Linked DNA regions of Arabidopsis thaliana. The protein of the gene in region 2 interacts with the protein of the main gene of each other region in a pairwise test. Each region holds a gene or a part of one and is shown on either strand. Other genes may lie near its edges.

What was found. Proteins that work in one complex are often made in the same cells at the same time.
Region 1: the proteins of AT5G50520 (region 2) and AT5G14690 interact in a protein complementation assay, tested with the Arabidopsis thaliana proteins (one large-scale study listed by BioGRID).
Region 3: the proteins of AT5G50520 (region 2) and AT5G45095 interact in a protein complementation assay, tested with the Arabidopsis thaliana proteins (one large-scale study listed by BioGRID).

Annotation. Positions count from the first base shown.
Region 1 is NC_003076.8:4,730,591-4,739,805, forward strand, and holds AT5G14690 (uncharacterized protein), read right to left. Parts: upstream 6,056-9,215; 5' UTR 5,798-6,055; intron 4,123-5,797; exon of another isoform or gene 3,938-4,122; 5' UTR 3,926-3,937; coding exon 3,272-3,925; 3' UTR 3,068-3,271; downstream 1-3,067. Other genes in the region: AT5G14680 (Adenine nucleotide alpha hydrolases-like superfamily protein), read right to left, coding at 1,030-1,138, 1,442-1,560, 1,672-1,793, 2,258-2,435.
Region 2 is NC_003076.8:20,567,136-20,575,938, forward strand, and holds AT5G50520 (Major facilitator superfamily protein), read right to left. Parts: upstream 4,522-8,803; 5' UTR 4,453-4,521; coding exon 4,111-4,452; intron 3,915-4,110; coding exon 3,100-3,914; intron 3,011-3,099; coding exon 2,545-3,010; 3' UTR 2,398-2,544; downstream 1-2,397. Other genes in the region: AT5G50510 (Molecular chaperone Hsp40/DnaJ family protein), read right to left, coding at 251-940; AT5G50530 (CBS / octicosapeptide/Phox/Bemp1 (PB1) domains-containing protein), read right to left, coding at 4,741-4,920, 5,067-5,156, 5,238-5,323, 5,416-5,534, 5,613-5,722, 5,872-5,930, 6,021-6,126, 6,285-6,351 and 6 more; AT5G50540 (uncharacterized protein), read right to left, coding at 7,965-8,306.
Region 3 is NC_003076.8:18,204,222-18,212,119, reverse strand, and holds AT5G45095 (uncharacterized protein), read right to left. Parts: upstream 4,758-7,898; 5' UTR 4,280-4,757; coding exon 3,095-4,279; 3' UTR 3,068-3,094; downstream 1-3,067. Other genes in the region: PP2-A7 (phloem protein 2-A7), read left to right, coding at 7,120-7,260, 7,597-7,874.

The DNA of each region.
Region 1 (9,215 bases), about 16 Mb from region 2:
TTTGGAGACATTTAGAGGAAAAAATCATTATTCATGAATACTGATCAAACCTTCATTTTGATTGAGTACTGAGTAGGCATGATGAAGCTGAACACTTTTTGTCCTTGGAGACCATTAGTGATTGTGGAGAAGAAAGAAGTATTATGTCTGATTTTACAACGGTTTATAGCATCCATCCGTTGATGCTTGTGTCATTGTGTGTTAAAACGTCAAAAATGGATTTGTGATAGTTTTTACTTTTACCTTTTTGTTTGTTTCTTCTAAACTTATGGAAATGTTCTTCCTAGCTAAAGAGTAGATATGATACCTTTTCCTCCTTATATAGAAGGTTTTTACAAATTCTCTCAGTTTATAGAACCCTAATAAAACCAAATCAAATACACTATGCATGAGGGCTCAAATGGTCCAACAGAAGAGTAAGTAGATTCATGTTCCAACAAACTTGGACAAATATGAGAGCCAATATGGTAATTTTCAAGAAACTCAACTTGATCTCGAATTTGGAAGAAGCTTTAGGTAGCATTAGAAAATCCGTGGTGAGTCGTAGCTTTTCCTTGTGGTCTTTTGGGGATGCGCCAACGTTAACGAGCTCAAGACATGACAATTCCTCCAAGAAACGCTTCATTTGCTCCACCTCTTTGATACTTCCTTAGTACTCAGTTAATACTAGGACCATGATGATAAACGAGAACATCCCAAGAAGCATTTGCAATCAGATACAGCAGACCAGACATTGGATAGCCATATATGAAAGACATTGAAGAGTCTAAGATTACACAACAAATAAAGGAACTTTTTGTTTTTATGTTTCGAGAATGGAGACTAAACACGAATATATATGATGCTTTGTGTGTGTAGTATCATCGAATAACATCTAGAATTACAGATGCACTTACTAGATCAATCAAAAGAGTTTTTTGTAACGTTTTTCTTCTTCTGTACTGCAACACACCCATTTATTGTCTCTCAAAAGCTTGCGGGATTCAGCAGACATGAAATCACCGCATGGTTTTGCGTTGCTTTTGAAATTTAGTCATCAGCTGGATCTTGTGGAGATTCTTCAGCAGTGCGTTTGATTGTGATGACTGGGCATTCTGCATGCTTCACACAAAATTCACTCACTGTTCCAACAAATACCCTGTCCAGTGGTAAACAAATGTGAACTTGATCAATATCTGTGATTTCAAGCTCAAGCAAGTACAAGAGCTAATGACGATTCTCGGTGCAGTATAAAGTCTAAAGCATAAGCAGTGATTGATTTCCATGAGGTGTCATCAATCATCATATGCAAGAAAAAGGTCTCAGGATTTCTAATAAACTCTTGATCTGTATTTTTCCCGAAACCAACAAGTCATTTGAGACTACATAATGACTAATCGATATGGTATAACTGTAAAGCAAGAATAAGTCTTCTTGAGGCGTGTGTGAGGATTGTACATACTTTTGGAATGGGCCGAGACCACGACTTCCCACAACCAGAAAATCTGGCCGGACTCGCCTCACTTCATGGCATATCAATTCTGTGGGATCACCTTTCCTGATCCAAGCCTCGCACCCAACCTACAAGTTCAACAACTACCATGTATCAGAGCCACCAAAAGTTACTGTGATACAAGTGAGGGACATAAAGACAGATATGGATCTATCAATGAGTTTAAAGGAGTCGTTTACCCCAATATCATGACATTTCTTAACGAAAAACTCAAGAAGGTGAAGTCCTTTAGCCTTGTTACGCTCCCTCATTTGTCGGAAATCATCAGGGGAAGCATATATACTGTCCATGTCATCAAAACCTGGTTCCCAATTCATAATCAGAACAAGTAAGATCACATTTATTAATGCTACCTAACAAAAATAAAACTTGGTACATTATTGCATTGCTCCCAATGAAGAGGAAAAACATCACATAAACATGAAGAAAGTCTTTTCCATAATATTTCTTAGAAATCAAAAGCACAATTCTTCTCAGAAGTGGATCTAGATTCTTCTAACTAACCAAAAACAGTTCTTGTCGGTTCTTTGACTTCCATTGAAAACTCTACGACCCTCACAAACAGCTAAAACACTAGAGATCAAGTCTTGAGAACATATACAAACACCTAATTTAGCCTGAATTAATCTACTTATACCCTAAAAAATATCCGTTGAGCATCATCATTGAAACTAATGATCAACAACATTAAGCAGACAGATACAGACTCAAATCCAAGTATCACGATATTCAAAATTCAACGATCGAATGAGAGAGAGAAGTAACCGTCTTCGTCTTGAACTTGAACGTGGAGCAAGAGAAGCTTGAAGCCAGAGGTATTGGACCGAACGATCTTCTTCAGTGTCCACTCGAATGCTTTTTTGCTACTTATCGACGCGTGTGGATAGCCTTTGAGAGTCGATTCATTCACCGCCACCATCACTCGAGTAGGCTCGCTCTCCATTATTGTTTCACTCGACTACTCTCTCGAGCTCTATTGGTTCCTAAAAGAGGAAGGCGGGGAAGCAGGAATGAACTGAATAACAACTATGTCAGGCACAAGCAGAGAGGAAAGGGTATTGTGCGCGGACGGCGCACATTAGAGCACGATATCGTAATAAATTTTGCTGCCGACTAAAATGCGCAGGGTCGGTTTAGGAGCAGAACTTTGTTAGTGGGTCTCTTATCTAGCCCAACTATTCAATCTGTTTATAAACGGGCCCATTGCTATATTTTGGGTGTTATTGGTAGGCTAGCTTCATTTTGTTATATAGTTTGTACTTTATTGATTTAAATAAAAGATTCTAATTGTATAGGGTTTTAAGTATTTAGTGAATATGAGAAAAATCATATGAACTTATAAGTGTTAAGAAATCATCTTCCAATCATACTGAGTATAATTTACTGGCATTATATAGAATTAATTGTAACTAAAAAAATTGAATGACAAAAGCTTTGGAATGTGATAAAAAATCATCAAACTACCAATAACCACTTCCTCTCTGTTTTTTTTTTTTTTCAAAACTAGTTTTATGAATCAAATTATTTAAAGGTATAAGTCTCTAACAATGTGAACACTTCTAGGTCCACTGTCGAGCTAATTCATGATATTTTGATGGAATGAACAAATTTCTGCAGTTATATATCACAAATGTGGTTTCTAGCATAGTGGATCGATCGAGATGTATATATGCGAATACGCTCACGAGCGAGACCTATCATAGAATAGAACACATAGACTAAAACATTCACATTTTATATTTATTCGAATATAACTAAAAAATCCTACAAATTGATCAATCATTGAATTCCAGTGAAAGAGACTCTACCAAATCCAAGATGACCAATCTGATACAACTCTAACCACACTCTCTCGGCTTCAACTCTTGCACTTATTCGCGACTCATCATGATCTTCTCCTTTACACGACGTCGTTCTCTCCTCCTCCTCCTCCTCCTTCGTTAAACTCCCATCTCTCTCTACCACAAACCGGTGATCATCATAATCTCCGCCGCCATAACATCCTCCTCCGCCACCGCCGCAGCCGCATTTCTCACCCTCCTCGGCTGTCTCAAACCGGCGGTGATGGTTATTATGATGATAAAACTCATCTTCACCGTTGATATTCCCGCGGCGTTTCCTCCTGTGTATTACTCTCCGCTTCTTCTTATTCCGACCGCCGCCGCCGAGACATCGCCGTCCGATCATCCACGGGACTTTGACGAGAGTAAGAGTAAGAAGGTTGATGATCGCACATGGACAGCAACAAAGCGCTACACAGTCAGCAATCGCCGCAGCCGCCCACGATCGGCATCTCTTACTGGAGCATTTGACTTCGTCGCCGTGAGTGTGGTGGTTATGCCGTCGTCGACGGTTCTCTTCGTCCACGGCGTCGTTTTGACAGTGGGTCCCGCCATGGTTTCTACGTGAAACTCGATGCGGGTTTTCCTCCATCAAAACAAAAGCCTACTACAACAAAAAATAATACAGAAAAAAATGAAGAGCTTGGTCACTGTAATATATATATACGAGATACATCGATATGTATTTAATTTATGGATCAAAGTTTGAAAAAGGTTTTGCTTACAAGTTGATACGTATAGGAAATAGTAAAAACTTTATTAAAACAAAAAAAACAGAGAGATGTAGGAAACAACAACTCGAGATTTTCCATGCATTTTTCACTTAATGACCAAGACAGTTCAGGTTTAGATTCACTATTCTCTCACGCTCTTCTTTATCGCGTGTAAACCACGACATGTAACGACTTCGTTTTTTTCCCTCATGTAAATCAAACATACTATATACATAAGGGTAAAAAATAAGGTTTGGTCTAATGAATTTTATTTATAAATTGCAAGGAGCGCGTGGAAACGGATCCATATTATTATTTTGGGGGATTTTGACCATCGGAAATGCTAAAGTTTTTGAAAGATTTTAAAAAGGAGTTCTCCTAGGGATATGTAATGAATTAATGATTATTGTTTTGGGCTCTCTGAGATTAATTGTGGTGTAGTAGCCTGATAGGTATCTCGTTAATATTTTTTTTGCTAATTTAAAAGTTTTACACAAGGTTTAAGAAGTTGTATTGGATTTAGCATTTTGTTTTTTACGTTCTACTAGTATATAGTATGGTCATTTACCATTTAGAAAACACATTCCACTAAAAAAAGTTTGTTATCCGAAGATATGCGACAAACAAAAGATGGAGATTGTTGTACCAACAAAAAATTTATGGTGATGTTTATGGTGATTAATATTATAATGTTTAATTGATGAGAAACTATTTAAAAATTAATGTGGCAACGTGGATGCTAGTGGGAAGGATTCTCTTTCACGTGGATTGCCGGGTCTTCTTATGGCCCAATTACGTGGAACGTAATAAAATACAATTTAGAATACACTAATACAGTATACGAAATAAATAGTCTATTGTTCAATTATACTTTAGTGTTCCTACTTAACTTATGAAACAACTGATAATCAATAGCCCTATTAATTAATAGTCCTAGAAAGTCTATTAGGAATCTCCTTGCAATAATTTCCAGTAGACGATAATATATTTTTAGATATGTATGAACTACATATTAATGGGCTATAAACCATGATTCATAGAGATGTTACTTTTGTTTTCTGTTAAAAATGAATTAAAGATATTACTTTTGGACAATTGGACTCCGGCAAATGTTGTAGAATTATATCTCTCTGTTTCATCTTTACGAAAGCGAAAATGTTAATCAACTATTCAAATGCATTCTGATTATACCATCTATTACAAACCATCATACAGTATATGTTTCGTGTTTAGAGATAAAGAAAAATCGTATCTTTCCTTTTTATATCGTAGTGGGACCTAGTACTATTGTCCCTTTTCACTTGTATAAGGTAAAAGTGCAAAATGGTGGGTAAATTTAAAAATGTAATTTGCATGTTCATTATACAATACTGATATAGTGGTATATTCACACATATGAGACCCTATATACTTTGTGTATATGGATATCATTATTAGAAAGCTCAATTTCAATATCTATGGAAATTTTCTTAAGGAAAAATACAATTAAAGTTAATTATGAAATGTATGTTTGTATATCCCCAACGTGGTAGTCACAAATGACACACATGCAACCTAAATATCCCTCTAACTAATCATATTGTTAAAATAAATAAAGCTCTTCGGATATGTAAAATCTACGATGAACTCGATAGCTAATTCAGATTATACCCGTAGTTAAGACCATAATCGTAACTGGGATTTATAGAAATTGAACCCAACTAAGAAACCCTAATCGAAAATGATGAGTCATGAGAGAAATGTAGGATTACCTTGGATGATTTCCTCAACTTGCTTGATTTCTGGTAAATATATATAACTATGGATGCATAAAGTTCAACAGAAATACAATTTCATTTGGTATGTTGTGTATTGTAGTAATCCTAAGATATGATTTGTGGGTTTAGCTAGGTTTGGGATGATGGATATGATAAAGGAAAGAAAAAGGAGAAGAAGGAGAAGTAGGAGAAGGAGAAGAAGGAGAGGACGATTAAGAAAGATGATTTGGTGTAGCAAATGCTCCATTTTTACATATATACATGTTTCCTTTTTTGTTTCTCTCTCTCTCTATATATATATTCACGTGTACGGAGCTTAATTAATTACGTTAGTTATAATTGCATTAATTTTTTATTTTAGCAGCTGAGTAAAGCTCTATTTGAATGAGCTAAACTCGAGTATTTTTTACGACGACATATGACAAGAGCTATATGTACAGTTAGGTTTTGTAATAATTTTTTGGGTATGAGCCGTATGATTTAGGTTTTTAACCGAATTAGAGGAATATTTTGCAATACTTTTACAGTTATAACTAGATTTTAACCCGGGACTATATCTTTTTCAAAAAATAAAAAATTAATTTGTTTAGTAGATTAAATATATATAATTTATTTTTATATTTTCTAAATGTACAACTCTTATATATATATATATTATTTAGTATATAATTACTATGTTTAATTTTTACTGTTTAAAAATATAAAAAGAATAACAAACAGTTTATTAAGTTAAAATTTAGATTATAACTAAATAATTCAAATTTTAATTATATTTGTTTTATTAATATAATGATATTTTGATTTATAAATATATATATAATTTCACCCGTGGTATACTGTCTCGTATTATTATCGATTCAAAATTGTCATATCATCTAATCTCGTTCAGTGAAATTAAACATATCTAATAGATTTCACCCGTACTATACTGTCTCGTATTACTTATCGACCAAAACTCGTCATACCATCTCGTATTTTTGTTTTAATAATACTTTACTTTAAAAGATATATAATTCAAATCAATTTAAAAGTTTTATTTCTAATGATTATTTAATAGTTTTAAAGTTCATATATTATAAATATTCTAAACTCGTCTTATCATCTAATCTCAACAGTTAAAATTAAACATTATTTTTTTTATTTTTTGTTCGAATAATATTTTTATTAAAAGATTTATAATCACATTAATTTAAAAGTTTTATTTTAAATGATTATTTAATTTTTATAGATTTCATATATTATAAATATTATAAAACATTTTTCCGTTAAATATTTTAAATGTTTAATTAACTATAATATTTATCTTTTAATCAAGTATATATGAATAATGTCCTAAGATTTCTCATTTTTTAAATAATTAAAATTGATGGAAATATAATAGATAAGGAAATGCTACAAATTAGGAATATTAATTAATTGATAATAATTGATAGCAATGACATCTCTTGTAAATAAGTTTCAACTTAGGATTTATTTGCTAAAATGACTGAAAAATGTATATATATATAGATTATACATCCAAAACGTTAGCTTTACGTAATTAGATTTGAGTTGTTATTTTTTGAATGAACTAGTTAACTGAAACTTATGAGTAGATTATTCGTTATTAGCTTTGATACAATCAAATTGAAAGCCGGGAAATGTGTGATATGTTCAGAGATTCAGTGATTCACGATAATGATAATCATATAGATTTAAATATCACACATTTTAAAAAAAAATATATATATATATATAAGTGCAAATTAGTAAATTACAACGAGTCAACGACAATTAGTTAAATTTGGAACAAGATAATGGATTTCTCATATATACAAATACCATATGATAATATGTGAGGTGGCTAAGTATTTTTCAATGATACGATGATGTAATCATGACTATATATATATAAACTTTCAACTAAAGTATATATATCATACTGATAAGAATATTCGTTTACGCGAATTAATTAAGATTACAATACCTATACCATAATTCGACTTTACGTGTACAATATACTTAATATATAGGAATACAAAATTACAGTCTTTAGGTGTTGGTCTTATGATATCTATAGGAGATTTCTTGAGGAGGCCTTTGATGAAAATAAAGAGCCAACCATTTTAGTTTTTTAATTTATTAGTTATCGATTAACGTAATCATCAAATCAAAATCTTCTTGATGTGTTACATTAAACGACTTGATACTCTTAACAAATACAACATGTAAACTATAACCTGCTAAGGTAGGCTGCTAGTAAAGGTCGGAATTAGAGTATCATACAAGTATAACTTCTTTAAAGTTTTAAACTCGTTACGTTACGTTCCGTGTGAACAAACAATTATGATCAGCATTACATTTTACAACTGTAGTGCTGTAAACGATAGTTAGGGGGTCGATACTCTATTGATCAAACTTATTGTTTGAAACATTTTTTTTTTTGTTAGAAACGTTGTTTGACATTTTTGTTAAAAGACACCAATTGTGAATGCAGCCCCATCTTTTGTAAATTTCTTCACTAATGTTTTGGATTTTTTATTGGTGAAATATTTGATTTTCAAAAAGATTTTTGATGAAAGTTGTAGATCAGTAATGATCTTCTTCTTTTTCTTCTTTTTTTTTACCAGAAAAAGGAAAATGCTTTGGTTAAACAATTTGTGAATTCAAATGTTTTTTTTGGATTAGTTTAACCAATATTTCCTCACAGTTTCACATATGTGTAAACCGGTTCGAGTTATTAGTATTTACTCCTATTTAGTAATACACAATCGATAAGAATAAGTTCTTGTACGAATTTATAGGAAATATCGGAGCTTGGTGTTTGATGAGTCCCGAAGACAGAGAGAATCAAATCATGGGAACTCGGCCCAATTTGTGTTGCTTTCCATGCATTTTCACAATAGTTTTCTAGTGTTTTTCAACACTAAATAAAAAGAATAAACACCCAAAATAGAAATTAGAAATATTTATTCATTTGATAAATTTGAGTGACTTCTAAGCAAATCTGAACATCTCATTACCAAAAGTATCTTAGAGTATGTACTTAATTATGTTGCGTTCAATGATGGATGTATGTACAATGGTAACAGTGCCATGAAAATGGTATACATTAAAGTTTCTACATTTCAGTGCTGCATTTAGGAGCTGAGTTATTTGCAGAGTTGATATGAGTTTTTTTTTCTTTATAGTTTCAAATATTTACATAAGTTTTTAGTATTTTTTAATCAGCATAACTTTATAAAATCATTTATTTATGTTTTATTTTGTGTGATTTTCCGTGAGTTTGAACTTAAAAAAATAGGACAGCGTTCACGCCTATTTCTCTCTGGTGCTGCCTTTGGCGTGACTTTGTCTTCAAAACACTTTGCACGTGCACTCGACTCTCCGATCGCCACGTTAGCTACTGAGATTGCTCTCTGTTTTAATTTTT
Region 2 (8,803 bases):
TGGGAGTATTCAATAGAACTCTAAGAACAAGGAAAGAGATAAACTCTCTTTTATTAAAACTCAAAAATGAATGACAAAGCAACAAAGCTAATGGAGGAAAATCCAAATAAAAAATGCAAATGTAAAAACAAAAAAAATCCAAATTTAAAATAAAACCAAAACCAATTTTAAATTAAACACCAAACGGTCCAAAACCAGCAAGTAGCCGTTTGCTTTAAGCGCCTCTTTCTTGAAGATGTTGCTGTATCTATCACTCCTCCATGACCTTATTATCAGTTTCCTCAGCAGCACCAACATTATTGTGCGGAGAAGAACAAACAAACGTTTCAAGACTCAGTTTGATCACACTCGTAGCCTTTCGAGCCAATGCACTTCGAAGCCTATTTGGAGAAATATCGTGTCTAATCTCTGCGTCTTCGCTCATTCTTGTTAACTTAGAAACATGAAGTAGATTTGTTGGTGGAGGTTCCTTTTGTTTGCTTCCTTCACAACTAATCCTGCTTAGTTGGTTTATTGGACCAGAAACTCTCCGTGAAGGTAAAAGTTCGCGTCTCTCGAGAAAATATTTCGAGGCATCAGTGAGTATCTTCAGTGCCTCTTTAACACCACTACCAACAGATTCGTCACGGTCAAGGGAAATGTCAATAGCTAATGTGCTATAACGATTAAAGATTGTTATAAAATCTGCGGTTCGCTCGACCGCTAAAACATCATACCAATCAACTTCACCATTGACTTGCTTCTGGAAACCCATGCACACGTCAAGAAGTGCATTGAGACGGCGAAGACCACCAAGTGCAGGATTAATTTGTTTTGCCTTGAGAGCAAACTCTTTGGCTCCAGCAAAATCACCCGCTTTATATTTTTCCACTGCGATGGCTTTCGCTCGTTTAGCTTCTTCTCGAATGATTTCCTTTCTTGATTCGTCCATGTGCATCATTTCTTCGTCAAAAGGTCCTTTTATGTCTCTTAGTTTAGATCATGCAAAAGAAAGAGATTGATCAGAAAATAAAACAACCCAAAATTGAACATTGCTGAAAGCAGAAAGTGAGAAAACTTTTGCCCCAAGTTATCCATAGAGATAAAAATAATTCCAATATCTATGAAAACATAAATGGTGGAAATAGGTATCTAGATAGATGTTCTTTGCATCAAAGTTCGATAATATTAATTTTGAAATTTAAGAACCAAAGATATTGACTCCCTTAAGATCAAATCTTGAAGTCTTAGGTAAGGAATCCATCAAAATTGTTATAAGAAATATCTACTCCTAAACAAACAACTCATGCCAAATTTAGGAAAACGGCAATAATGAATAGACATTTTGCGGCCGAAAGTTTGTAACAAACTTAAATCCGAATTGAGTTTTCCCGCGTAAATCCGTTGGAAAACAAAGCCAAAACTCTTACGAAAATAAACAACATGGTAAACTTTAGAAAACAGATTCAGGAATCTAGAACAGGCTTGTTGCTAGAGATCGTAGAGACCACTGGATTAAGATGAAACTTAACAAACATTTGCAAACACAAAGATGCTGATATAATCTATTGAAAACACAAACCATTAACACCATCAATCAAACAAACTTTACCATTCACTAATCTCAGAAAAATGGTTTTAACATAAATCAAAGCAAAATCACTTATCTCTTTCTTATACAACACTACACACCAAACCAATTGATAGCCAAAAAGAAGTCCATAAATTTTTTATAATTTAGGGATTATAAAATCCTAAAAGTTGAGAACCCATTTGTCAAAGCAAATTTGATTAATGACAGAAACTCTAGAAAAGATAAGACAAGGACTAGGAAAAAAAATTCAAATAAAAGCACCGCAAGGTTCTATACCTTGTGAGTGATTTAGACGAAGAATTAAATTTTCTTAGCTTCTCTTATCTTCGTTTTGAATTAACGTTTAAGTAAAGATAAAAACACTCTCAACACCTTTAAGATGATGAACATGTAGTAAAGATTAGTAAACAAATACGACTCTTAAGGTAAAAAATATTAATTTTATATTTTCCAGTTATGTTTTTAATTCAGTCAAAGCACTCATCAGTTCCCAATTTCATATTATGTCCATACACAAAATCTCAAAACGAAGGAGAAGAGAATAGAACAAGAACGATACCTAGGTTTCTCCCCACAATCAAACTGAAGCATCCAAATTTCATAAGTTCAAAAACCATAAAGTGATACGTATTTGACAAGAATTTCGTACATGCATATAAATGACATTTTATGGTAAAACATTTCCCCTATTTCAGTGTTCCATTTCAATACTCAAAATCTATAGTTGGTATTTGTAGAAATTAATCAAATATAGTTGGTTTTTTAATTTTTCTTTCAAGAATTTTTTTTATATCTATTAAAATTATGTTTATGTAATGTAAGTTATCTAACTCTTTTAGGGCAATTATTTTTTTAATGTTACATTTAAATACTTGTGAACACCAATTAAAGATTTTGAGTATGGAATTCAAAATTGCTTACATATATCTTCCAAAGACCAAATGAAAATTGCTTACACAATTACACTATCTTCAAGTCTTTGAGACTCGGTGATGAAGCCTCAAGTAAAACTTCCTCGTCCTATAAACCACACTCAAACTCAAAACCATAGCCATTAGACACAACATGGACATGAGACTGCACGTGACTGAATAACACACCGAGCCCGTGCAGACGAGCGACTCAGTCTCTGTGGTGGGTCCGGCTTGCTTTCTGGCGTAGTAGTCATAGATGTTACTAGCGATCACACCTGAGAACACAAATGACCCAATAGGCAAAGCTGTAATCTGGAAATTGTAAAGAGAACCGAAGCTCTTCAGGCCAAAAATGTCAGAGACTGAAGCAGGAGCAATCGCCCAATGAGCGCCATAACCCATTCCTATCACAATGGTCACTACGTAGATCTTCCCTGGCCAATCTATGGCATAGTAGATGAGCCCCAAAGACATTATCGCCTGAACCACAGACATTGCCAACGTTCTTGGAAGTGAGAGTTTCCTTTTGAAGAGGCAGAAAGAGATGAATCTGTCAGTAAAAAACACAGATGCTTCTTAAAAGCGAAAGTGAAATGGTTAAGGGTTTTGTACCTTATGATTAGCTCAGAGAAGTAGCCACCAGCAACACGGCCGAGAAAATTGGAGATGCTGATCAGTGAGACAAATATTTTGGTGTTGCTGTACCCGAGGGAATAACAAATCTGACCAAGATTGTCTATAATCGTGATTCCCGAACCTACACCTAGAACCAGAGACATAAATATAAGCCAGAAGTCAGCTTGTCCCAAAGCTTGTAACAAGGTGAAATCTTCTCCTATACACGGCGCTCTTTTCTTTTCCGGCGGTCTGTCACTTCTCTCAATTAAAGTTCTAGCCTCATGCTGATCCACATTGGAAGTTCCTTCTTCAGGCTTCACTGAGGTGACATTATTACCCGAGATGAAAACCGATGAAAAAGGGACAAGAACTGGAACAACCATGAAAATGACAAGGATGGCTCCAGAGGTTGTGATAATCGTTTGAGTCATATCAAAAACACTCTGAAGTACCAACAATCCTAGTAAATATACCGCAAGGACAACACAGAAACCGTAAATAGCCAGGAATCTTAAATCATCAGATCGCAAGTTCGTTCTGCAACTTCTTTCCACGGGTCTAACAATAAATAGTAGAGCAAGAACCACGACTGGTGGTCCAAGAGCAACCATGAGAATAACCGAAGAATCATGAGAAGGGTTGAACATCAAATAAACCTGAGTCAAGATTGCTCCACTCAAGCCAGAAAACCCTTTCAGGATTCCCACCACAGGACCTCGGCTTTCTGGGAAGTTATGAATGCATGACACAAGCGACGCTGTATTGTAGTATGTTTCCCCATTTGTTCCCACGAATATAGCAACAAACAACTACATGAACAAATAAACCAGAATCAAGCAGGATCACACTCATATGTAAGCTTTAACATCTTTTTTTTTTTTTTTTTTTGAATATCTGGAAGTTCAAGCCAAAATTAGAGAATCGTACAAATAATCAAAAGCAAAGCACAATTACTAACGAAATCGCAAATGTGTAAGCAATTTTGATTTGTAAAATTCATCTCACCATCCAGAGAGGCAAATTAGGCAATTGGCCAGTGACGACGAGCCAAACAACACCGTAGCCGAAAAGGTTCTGAGTTGCACCGACGAGTAGAACCACCCAGGAAGGTGAGACTTCAGATAAAGCACCGGAGACGAATCCGATGGCGTCACCGAGGTTTTTAGCTACGCCGAGAAGAGCGATCTGTTTCTGATTGTAGCCAAGGGAAGTCTTGATTGCCGGAGACATAGAGCCGCCGAATAGATAGCCAACGCCGGCGACGGATTGGACCCACATGGCGCAGACGAAAACTAGCCATCGGTCGTTGACTAGGAGCTCTAGTTTGTGACGCCACAAAGTCATCATAGTCAAACGCTCTCAAAACTTTCTATTTCTTTTTTTTTTTCGTTGATTCATATGATTACTTATTTTGTAATTTTCAGTTTCAAAGAAAAGTTTGGACAACACCGTAAATACAAATAAAATGTTTACTTATTTATATACAATTCATGTGTAAGGTTGAGAAACAAATAAGCAACAAGATAAAAAAAAAAAAAAAACACGAATCAATGAAGAGGTATACACTTCACAAGCTTAGGTTTAAAAATTGGTTTGCAAAAGCATTCACTTTTGTATCTCCCCAAAATGAATCTGTTAGTTTGAGTTGCGCTTAAGGTACACCAAAACTCCAAGTCCAGCAGCAAGAGCAGCCCCGGCTGCAACCGTTTTGTAAGCGGCTGCCCATGAGTTTGACTGGTCGTAGTCCATATCCTCTGAACTTAGACCTCTCCTGTGCCCTCTTTCTTCTGTGTAGTCCAAATGCAATTTTAAACCCTGCACCATTTGGAATCCCCAACCCAAATATACTCTTCTTTAGCCCAAAATCCACATTAACCAAAACGAGACCGCGGATTTAAGGTATCATTTCATCCTAGTTCTTTACACTAATTGACAATAAGTATGGATGTACAATTTATTACCTTCCAGCCTATTGATTTTGCATGTTCTACAGCAGCTCCAAGATCATTATCTGATGCTAAAACAACTTTGTCATTGTCTTCATCTTCGTACTACACAACACAAAATATGTCAACAAAAGAAGAAAATTTTTCCTATCTTCTCGTTTAATAAGTTTTCGAATAAATATGTACCATTATCTGAGGCAAGTTATCAGGCTCAATGTCATCCCCCATTCTTTGTAGGATTGCTGTTATCAGAGTTGTCAAACTCTGTGTTTCTGTTATTGAAAAGTAAAAACAAAAGGTTAATGGACTAAGCAGCATTGGCATAATAGGTGTCCTGTTTCTCAAGAGTTATGATTTAACGTACCACACATAAATCTATGCATTCGTCCCTTTTTATCTTGGAGTTTAAAAGCAAATGTGTTGGGATATGAAAATGATTTTGTTACTTCTATCTCCGAAGATAATTTCATCGACTCTTCTTCACTGAAAAATCATATGATCCAGTTTAAGAAACCACCTTATGGTCAAAACTAAATGGTTCAAAGGAATATGAGTAGAAACCTCCTCGTTTCATCGCCATCTTCGTTAGGAGACAAAGCCATAGCAGAGTCCCAAAACTTTTGCATCATTGAGTTTGCTGTCTCATTGTTTATTCCAGCCGTACTTCCAGCCTTGTCAAAAGGAAATAAAGAGTTTATAGCAAAACAAGAATAGTATGCAACAAATATATCATGTTCTTTCTTCTCTCGGATTGTTTATCGATCTTGTCTCATGTTTTCGACTTCAACTAGAAGAGAATAATAGAAGAAAAAAAGTGTACCGTAGTAACAGCAGCATGAGTTATGTGGATCACATCAATAACAGCGACAACATCTCCATCTGTATGTAATCATCAACATTAGACAAGTGTTGAAATAACAATGCTTCATACTTTATAGCTCAAAGTCAGTTTTGAGGACATTTTGTTACCTTTATCCAATACAGGAAGATGCAGAAATTTGCCATTATGCATGATATGTAAGGCTTCAACAATTGCCATATCAACTGTTGCAGATTCTGGATTCGGTGTCATAACCTATAGAATAATGGGATTGAAAAGAAACAACAAAGACGAAAAATGAGTACTCATATAAATCTAAGAGTTGAAAAGAATAATTTCAACCAGATTCAAAACTAACGAGCATAAGCATACATACATATATAGCGAAAACACGAACTTAACGAAAACTTTACCTTCTCCACAGTAGTTGTCTCTTGAGGAAGGTTTTGGGATATCACCCGCATCAAGATGTCCTTTGAGCTAACAAAAATCACAATTTAAGATCAAAGTTCCACTAGAAAAGATTAAAACATGATATTGTAGAGAAAAAATTTCAGAACCATAGAAACGAAAAAGAAGACAAGGGGCCAAATATGACACTTACGTTAGAATCCCAACTAATTTGTTCTCCACCATCACCATGGCTGCGCTAGACTGATATTCCACCATCTTCATGGTTACTCCTAACACAGTCTCATCCAATCCAACCTTTAAAACCCTGTACGTTTTCATTCCAAATTTACTCGTTAAGCTTTGCATTATTTCTCTCAATAAAACAAGTATAAGATCAAAATGATTTCAAATATGATAATAAATATAGAGGAGATATTACCTACTTTGTATTCTCCGGAATTATAGTTGAAAGTGAAGGCTTGAATATTCGTTCTCTAAGTGTCTCCATAAAAGTGTTTGGTCCTATCGTATATCCAACAAAAACGCCATCAGAGGCATGCAAGAAGACATTTGTGATGGATTCAAATGGAGATACTCAATTCCATATTTTTAAACATACCAGCAATAGATGTTCCCCAGTTCTTTTCAACGCCTTCAACAGCCGCAGCAATAGCCTTACCCTTCTCAACTGATCTTTCCATGCGGGCAATAGCATCATACAAACACTTTGCAATATCGAGAAGCGCGATAACTTCTCCATTCTCCACCACCGGCAAATGTCTAAACTTGCCTGCATATCCACTAGTCAGCTCAAGTACCAAGACCAACAAAGAACTTATAAAAGAACAAGAAATAACAAACCTTGAACCATCTTTTGAAGAGCTTCAACAGCAATAGTATCAGACAAAACAAAAACAGGGTTCTTGGTCATAACTTTAGATACAGGTGTTTCTTCAAGGTTAAGTTGTTTAGCAATCACTTTTGTTGCTATATCCTTAAAAAAAACAAAAGAGATAAAAAAAAAAACATAAGTGAAAAGTCCAGTTTGCATTTAGAATCCTGTTCATGAAAACATGTATACCCTATCTGTTAGGATCCCACAAAGTAATGCATTAGAATCAGTCAGCAATAACGCATCAACACGACGAGCAGCCATTCTTCGACAAGCTTCAAATAAAGTTGTGCTATCTGGTACAGTAAGAGCCTTACACAACCTTAGTCTCTTTACCGTTCTCTCACCACTCCTTTCCCCACTCAAGCTTCTACACCAAGAAACAACATGCAAACATTTACTTCCAATCTCATATATTTTGAAACATGTATCATTCCTCAGAAAAATGAAGAATTGGAAGAGAATGGGGTGATGATTACATGGAAGAACGAGAAGATGTGAGAGATCTTCGTGGGAGGAGATCAGAGCCACCACCACCACCACCTTCGTTTTCTGAAGCTTTTTTCCTTCCTTGAAATGAATGACCGGAGAAGGAGAGACTTTTCCTCGACGGACCACCTTGGTTAGCCATTTTCAACTATTCCGATCTCCTCCTTCAAATTCTCTGAAACACTTTAATAAAAAAAATCATCAGATTTTGATTTTTTTTTTTTTTTTTGCAGCAAATGCATATTCGAATTGGAACTTACCAAATAATCTTTCTCTTTCGGAAAATTTTTGATATCAATTCACAGAATAAAAGAGAAATTCAAAACTGGGAATTTCGAATCTTCACTTCGATAATGATCGACGATTTCGAATCGCCTAGTTGGGGCACGATCGATAATGCAGTTCGAAGGAATTGGAATTTTTTTTGTTTCTGGGAATCAATCGAAAGAAATTTTGGAAGAGAAAGACGAAAGGAGAGGGAAAGCAAAGGGCCAGAGGAGATAATAATTAATTGAATAATTAAAAAAAAAAAAAAAAAAAAGAATCCGTGGTGGAACTTTTCTTCATTTTGCCAATCTGTTAACCACGAAAATACAGATTTGCCCTTGGTATCCGATCGGGCTGTGAGTATCACGCTACGCGGGAACGACGACGCTGACATTGTTAATGAGGTTATTTATTTAAATCCGGAAACTAATAATCAGTCCCATTCTTTATGAATTCAAGAGCACATGTGCCAATTTGGTTCAAGAGCTACGATAAGTAATTGTTTTTAACAATGTTATTTCTTAATTATCTATGATCTATATTCACTGTGATAACAAGATGATAAAAATGACGTGAATGCAAGATATATTAATACAAAGCTTTTTTTAAAAACAATTTACTCATTTACAAAGATAATGATAACATTCTGAGTTACCATAACACATTAAAAACAGAGATATCTGAAATGGTAAGTTTTTTCCATGTCTCAATAAAATATATATTTTCAAATTTTTCTATAAAAACTATTAATTTGATATTATGTTTTATGTTTCTTGCATTTCTGTCTATCATGCCAGTAATACTTGTTAATGGTTCGTAAAGAGTTGGAATGAGATGATATAGTTTCATCCCCTCTTATAATTCAAGAGTAATCAGTGATTAGTATTAAGT
Region 3 (7,898 bases), 2.4 Mb from region 2:
TTTACATTGTTAAAACAAATGAACTATAGCTTCTCATTTTGATATGATTATTACAAGTCATGGTCATATAAATTCCCTAAAAATATTATTCTTCTTCTTAACTATTATAATTACTAATTAAGATCCGGTATTAGTTAAGCATTGCAATATTCGATATCATTGGTTACCACGTTGAAATGTTTCCATCGAAACAATCAAAACTATATGCAAAATAATATTCACCAGCCAAAAATATATTATACATTATGAAATGTATAAAAAGATATATGTACGAAGTGTGATATGGTTCGGTTTGGTATTAAAGTTTATGAAATGGTGGAGTACACTTGACAAAGCAAAAATGTACTTTACCTTTTAACATATTTTCTAGTTAATTTTCGATTCTTTCGATTTTATATTGTTTTATTATATGAAAAAGAAATAAGAGAATCGATGATAATTGCACGTCCCACTAATGACTTATTCAGCATCTCATCTTTTACTTTCCCCACTTAAATATTTCCTTTTCTTCCCTTCGTGTCCGCCAAAGTCCTCGGGACAAAAGAAGAAAGATAGAATTAAAAAAGCTAAAATTAATAACAAATCAAGTGAGTTATAATAATGATATGATTACATTAAGATTAAAATAGATAGAAGGACCCACTAATTAGTTAAAGTATCTTAATAATGTTCACATCTGTCAACTTTTTTTAATAAGATTTTCTTCTGAGTTGTTTCAGGTTTCGGTCGTTTCATTTACAATATTAATATTTTATTCAATATTCGTTTTATTTTTATTTTTTAAGTCTTTGAGATTTTAAGGTAAAACATTTCTCTTTGGACAACTTCTTTGCTTTTCTATATAGTGACATTGATTTGGTGAAGGATGGTTCTAGCTCCATTCCATCCATGAACAATATGTAAGAAATTGTTTATATTCATTTTGATTTTGTTTTTAATTATGTAGGATACATTTACTATAATGTGTTTTTAGTTTTTTACTAGTTGTAATATTATTCTGTAGATTGTTTTAATCTGTTTCTAGTTTTTTCTGTAATTATGTCACAAATCAAAAATGATATAAAATTTTATCTTTTACCAAAAAAAAATAAAAAAAATTATGTAGGATATACTTACTATAATGTACTATTAGGGCATCTCCATCAGTGAGATACCTTTTTGGTTTCTAAAAAAAAAATGATATTTGTATTTTAATAAATATTAGTTATATAATTAAATTTTAATAATAAAATAATATTTGACCAATAGATGATATATATAAATATTTTTATGAGTTTCTCAAAATTTTTCATTTGAAAAACTAATTTTACTTTCTTTCATACTTTTTGATTATATTTTAGTTTTATATTAAACAGTTATTGATAGAGATGGTCTTATATTCCTGTTACTTTTAGTTTTTCTTTTACACAAGTTACGAATAGTTGAGTAAATTTGTAGTCATGATTGGAACTTCTATTATAGACCCCCCATAAAGGAAGAAGGCAAAGTCATCGTGGAGTGGGTCTCTTACACGTCCACGTTTCAAACATCGTAAACAATGTGTTGATTGATTACTTTGTCTTTATGGACCAAATTGAGAAAATAAAAGGAAAAAAGAACGTTTGAGGTGGTTGATTGATTAGTGACTTCAACCATATCTTCTTTCATACTATACTTTTGGAAGTTGGATTACACCGTCTGTGTCGTTGCTGCCAAGTTGTAATGATTTAGCGTGACTGGAAAATTACATGTCTGTATGATTAATGAACCTGAAGCAACAATATCAAATTAATTGAGAGAATATTTCTTTGGACACTTCGACGTAACTTCGTTTGTGATATACAAAAAACATCATACGATAACATATATGATTCGGAAAAATGGTTTAAGTAATTAATTAAGTTAGTTTTAAGTTAAAACTTTTAACCATGAAAGGATACATTTGTAAATTAACATATAAATAGTTAATTAAGTTTTTAAAAATTGGAAAGTGGTCTATGTTTCAAAAATCATTGTTTTTAGTGTAATTTTACAAACTTCCCCTTTTTACTTTTTTTCTTTCTAACAATCAAACCCTATATATTTAGCTATTTGTTTAATTAAACATATTTTAAAAAACTACAAATATATGATTAAACAGATTCTAGCGAAATTATAGTAATCATATACATAAAGTGATCCAAGTATTAGCTCTAAGCAAACTTTCAATACTTTGCAAAAAGAAAAAAAAAGTTTTAGTTAAGTCCATAAAATCTGTTTTCCAAAATATATTTAATAAACATCGAAAATTTATAATCGTACAAAAACAAATGCGACATAAACTTCGACAATTTATCATATATATATATATATATATTTTTTTTAGTGTAATTGGGTTGACATTAGTTTATATTTATTCAACTCTGATTGATCGAGGAAGAACTCAACAAATTTTTATTTCAGCTACTTTCTTTTAAGCCAAATTATGTCATCTAGGCACATCCAATGTTTCAAATGAAAACTTAGAAAATTAGGCTGTTTTGCTTAACATTTTGGGATTAACGATTTTAAATTCTAAGGTAGTTTGTTATTTCAAAACATTTTCGGCTATATATTGAAATTAATTTACATAACAAATTTAGACTATTGTCAATTTTCAGTTTAAAATAAAATTATCCGTTAGTTTAGAGTTTAGGAATCATAGTCCCACCTATCTAAATGGAATGCTTTGAATACACTCCATAATCTATTTTGTCCCCACTAATCCCGCCGCCTAAGTGTTTAACCACAACACGGGTTCAGATCTAATCACTCATTATTATAAAGTCTAATACAATCTCTCATACTATATTTTATGACATAAAGTTGAAATCACTATCATTCTTTACTTGATTACTTGTTTATTTTTGCCATGACTCGGACGGACAATCAACCTCTGTGTTAATCTTGAATTCAATTTGCTTTAGTTAATGTTCCAAGGTGCATTGTTCAATCACTGTTATTTCAGACCCAAAAAAAGTATCACTATTAGTTTCACAAGACTTGAAATTTATTTGCTTTAATTATTGTTCCTGCTGGTAATCACTATTACCTAGGCTATATGTATTTTTTTTTTTGTCAAATAATTTGATTCCATTCAAACGAACAAGAAGATTACAGAGATCCATAGGAGTTCAAAGAACTCTGAATTTAGTACATCAAAGGATAAAGCATTCAAAAATGCAAAACATAGATAAATACGATAATACGACCGTAGATCCAAAAGAGCTAGAAGACATGAGCTAAAAAGCATCTTAAAACAAACGAGACATTGGAGAGTCGAAGACACATCCACGAACAAATCGAGGAGTGGATTGGTCACTAGACATTGCCATTGTGACGTTGAAAAAGAACCCATAACCTTGAGTTTCGCCGGCGCAAAACATGATACATCTTCAACTACAAAAGATAGTAACACGGTTAGGATACGCAACCGATTTCTCAGCTTAAGAACCAGAAAACGAAGATGGTCATTTGATGAGACGGTTCTCTCCATAAAGGAGGAGGGGGAAAAAAGTGATCTCTCCATAAAGGAGGAATTTAACACCAAATGTCTCTCTTTTGTGGAGGAATTTGGGTAAAAGGGACCCTTCAGATCAGATAAAGGAAGATTCAGAGCTCTAAAACGCAGATCGAAAGCTTTTCGAACAATCGCAGAAACTTTCTTTGAAATCTGAAACCAATTCAGAATGTGCACACTGCTAGATTGGGGATGCTGGTTAAAATCGATTTTGTGATGCTTCAAACGGTGGGTAATGAAGATGAAAACCGGTAGATATAAACCGGACAGAGCGAACAGGGAGACTCGAACATGCCACTGTCGGAGCCAAACCGGATCACAGAGCATTAAAATCTTCTTAACAATACGTTCTTCCAAAATTATTCGAGATGATTTCTTCAACGGGAAACTGAGCCGTTGAGAGCAATAACACACTAATAATGTCGTCATAGTTGTAGTCATTAAGCTTAAGACATTTGAAGAAATGATGCAACTTGGAGGCATGATTAATGGGTTGTAATATAGGTTGAAAGGAACAGACCTGGGCCAAGTTGAAAAAGAAATTGGGCCAAAATCCACATAAATGGGCCGAGATGAGATGCAATATGGGCCAAAGGACTGCCAGCAGAATTGTAGATCAAGCCCATGAAAGGAGACCATTGGAAGAATTAGGTTTAAGTTGCTTGCCGGCAGAATCTTCACCGGTACGGACGACGAGCATGAACTCCAGAACAACATGGCTTCTCGAAACAAAATGCAGATGATGCTTGGAGAAGTCTTCATTAAAACGCGAGGAGGTAGAAGTATTGTCGACGATATTCGGTGAGAAAGTTCTTCGGGGAGACCCGAGAGAGATCTAGATCCATTGGATCCGAGAGAAACAGTGAGACAAATCTCATATTTCAAAGATGAAAAACAGTTGGAATCAAGGGATTCCTCTTTTGACGACTTCGAAACCAACGTTGTGAACAGAGGATATGGAAGAAGGAGACTCGCCGGAACACACCTTCTTTCTCTGTCACATATCTCGGAGACGCCATGGGAAGAGGCCAAAAAGAGAAATAGATCCAAATTCGCAAAAATTGAAAGAAAACAGAACTAAAATGAGCAGGTCTTGAAAAGGAAGCTAAGAGAAGACGAGACATCCCGACGCCGGCGAGTTAAAACTCCACCGGCGTCGGAAAACATGGCCAACGATGGTGTCTCGAAAATGGTGCCTGGGAGAGAGCTAAATTATTATCTTAAGATTTCCAAGAAGAATATTGTCTTTCTTCTCTATAGGCTATATGTATAATAATAGAGATTACATATTGAAACTTCTTCACCTACTCTGGGCTAATATCCTAATATTAATCAAAACCTTATTATGAATTAATATGTGGACATTACATATTGAATCGGACTGCTTAATTAATATTTCCTTTGTCTCACACATAAAAAAAACATAAAAATCTCATTTAATTTATCTATTTTCTGTAAAACATCATTAACTACATCTAATTCTACCAATAAAAAAAATATATTGTAAAATATAATTAACCAAAAATTATTAAATACATTTAAGTTTTGAATAGATAAGTGAAAACAACACTTATTTTATAATTTTTTTTTTAAAACTATATATAATCAGAAATAGAGGGAATATACAAACTACTAACATTGAAAAAATAGTATTCGAAGTAAGAAATTTATTATTTTGTATACATGATTTTAGTTAAAGAAACAAAATAATTAACTAGTACCATTCATGTTGCGGATGTTAAAGATCTTTATCGAATAAAAGGATTGAAAAAATTAGGATTTGATTGTTTTAAACGGAAAATGATATCATTAGTTTCCATTTTCCAATGATGCTAAATCAGTTTTTAAAGATTTAAAAAAAACATCGAATATTTTAAAGCGGCCCAAGCCAAATGGAGAGAAAAACGCAAAATCTGTTTTAGCTATCGACCTTCACGTTGGGATTTCTATGTAATCATTATACATTAGACTAAAAAGAAAAATATGTTCTGGAAGAAGACTTTGTTTTTTATAATACTAAGTACAAAGAATAACACTGAGTGCTATCATCATCATTCATGTTTGGTTTATATTGGTCAGTCATGATATATTGGCCGTGACAGCAAAATCTAATCAGTTTAATATCACAATAAAATAGCAGTTGGATTAGTTATGAAATTAATTACCATTGTTTATTTTTTTGGTTGGGTGTTCTGCAAAAAAGGCTCTCCAAATCTCTGTCTGTTTTATTGCAATTTTACTTTCCGTCGTCTTCAAAAAATACAGAACAAATTTATGAAATTAAAAATAATATGTTTTATAACCTTCATATGTATATTTTAAAAGGTTTTATGGTTGCATACATTATATATTCAAAAGGGTTCATGGTAATTTTAAAAATGGATTTAAACTTGTCATCACGAGAGATTCGATTTGCTATGTTGTTTATAAAAAAGTATTTTATGTATTTTTTTATGTATTATGAAATCAAATGTACGTTATCGTAATACGTTTACAATATATATATATATATATATATATATATATATATATATATAAAGGCTAGTTTGCGTGTTATTCTTGATTTTGTAGGATTATTCTATATTTTTTAGAGTTAGAAATAAAGTTAAAAAAATAAACGATTTTGAAGATGTTTTTGTACCATACCCTTTTCTTTATTTATAGTTTTTTCAGGTACAAGTTTGCGCAAAAAAATCTTTATTCTAAACAGGCTTTTATGTCTACATCAAAACATTATGGGCTTTGATATTTGGATGGGCTTTTAAACACCCAAGTCTGCGAAGATATTTGGATGGGCTTTGAACTGGGAACTAAAGTACATTGATAAATTCTAGAAATAAGAGAAAATTGCTTTCCGTATTTTTGCACCATAGAAGAAGTTATATCTTACTCGTTTTTGCAGAAATTTAGTCAGTGAAGAAGTCAACTCTCAACTCGTTTTGGAGAGATTCTTCGAAAAGTATTTGCAGTTTCCATTTTTGGACTAACGTTACATGGAAAATTTCCAAAATGTACATTTCAGAAGATTAATTATACTAATAATAGTAATAACGACGATCAATGACGATAATAATGTCATCATACTAAGTATATATATATATCTCACAAAGATATGACTTACACATTAATTAATTTCACCAATCCATGTTGCAAATTCAAACAAGAATCGATCAAACGATCCTATTGCTTGCTCTTCGATGGTAGGAGCATCTTTAGTTTCTTCTTCTTCTTCCAATGTATTATTTATTCCAACGAGACCTCAAGTATTCATCAATTTCCGAGGAAAGGAGCTATCCCTAAAGAAAATATGAATTAGACATTATATTTAGGAAGTTGCTTAAATATATATATATTTGTGAGTTTTCCTAATGAGAATAGGAACTTATCTAATTCTTTTGTTATATAAGAAAATGCAAAGATGTTGCATAACTTATGAGTTTACTTTAGAGATTGAGAGATTAAGAGAGAGCTTTAGGTTTTTATAGTTATTTTTCTAAAGAAATAAAGAGAATCATTCTTTATATTTTGTTCTTGATCATATCCCTAAAACAAGAATTGGTATTAGAGTTTCAATGTTAAAGCAAAATCCATAGAGAAAGAAGATGAGTGAGGTTGCGGTGGTACTGGAGAAACAAGAAGGCGGAGGCGGAGGTGGACCGTCTTCGATACAATGTCCTATGCTCAAATCAACTAACTATACCGTATGGGACATGAGGATGAGAAGTACACTTAAGGTTCATAAGGTATGGGATACTATAGCGACCGGCGAGACCATACCTTAGCTTCAATGACTTAATCCAGCTTTGACTTAACCACCAAATTCTAGCTTCAATGACTTAATCCAGCTTTGACTTTCGAATATTAGTTTTAAGTTAGACTTAATCAAGTTATGACAAGTTGACAACTTAACATGTTGAATTATATTGTTTGAAGGATTCAAACAGATAATAACGTTGGAAAAATTCGTTTAAAAACTTTCTCTAAAAGAAAAAACCTTTCTCATCATGGCGGCTTCTACCTTTTCTTCGTCGTCTTCTTTTGTAGGATTGATACCATCACGGCCTTTAGTGTTCATAAAGTCGCAAGAAGAAGATGTGAGCAAAGGTCTGATCAATTTTCTCGAACCGGTCTTACAAAACAAAAATATAAATGTCTTCATAGACGAGGAAGAGGTAAGAGGCAAAGGTCTAAAGAATCTGTTTAAAAGAATCCAGGACTCAAAGATCTCACTCGCGATCTTTTCAGAGTCAAAATGTGATTTTAATGATTTACTGAAGAATAATGAATCCGCCGATGAAGCGATTCCTATATTCTACAAGGTAGATGCGACTGGAGACTTGGCCGATCTCCAAAACAGGTATTGTTTCTTTTCCTCTGTTCT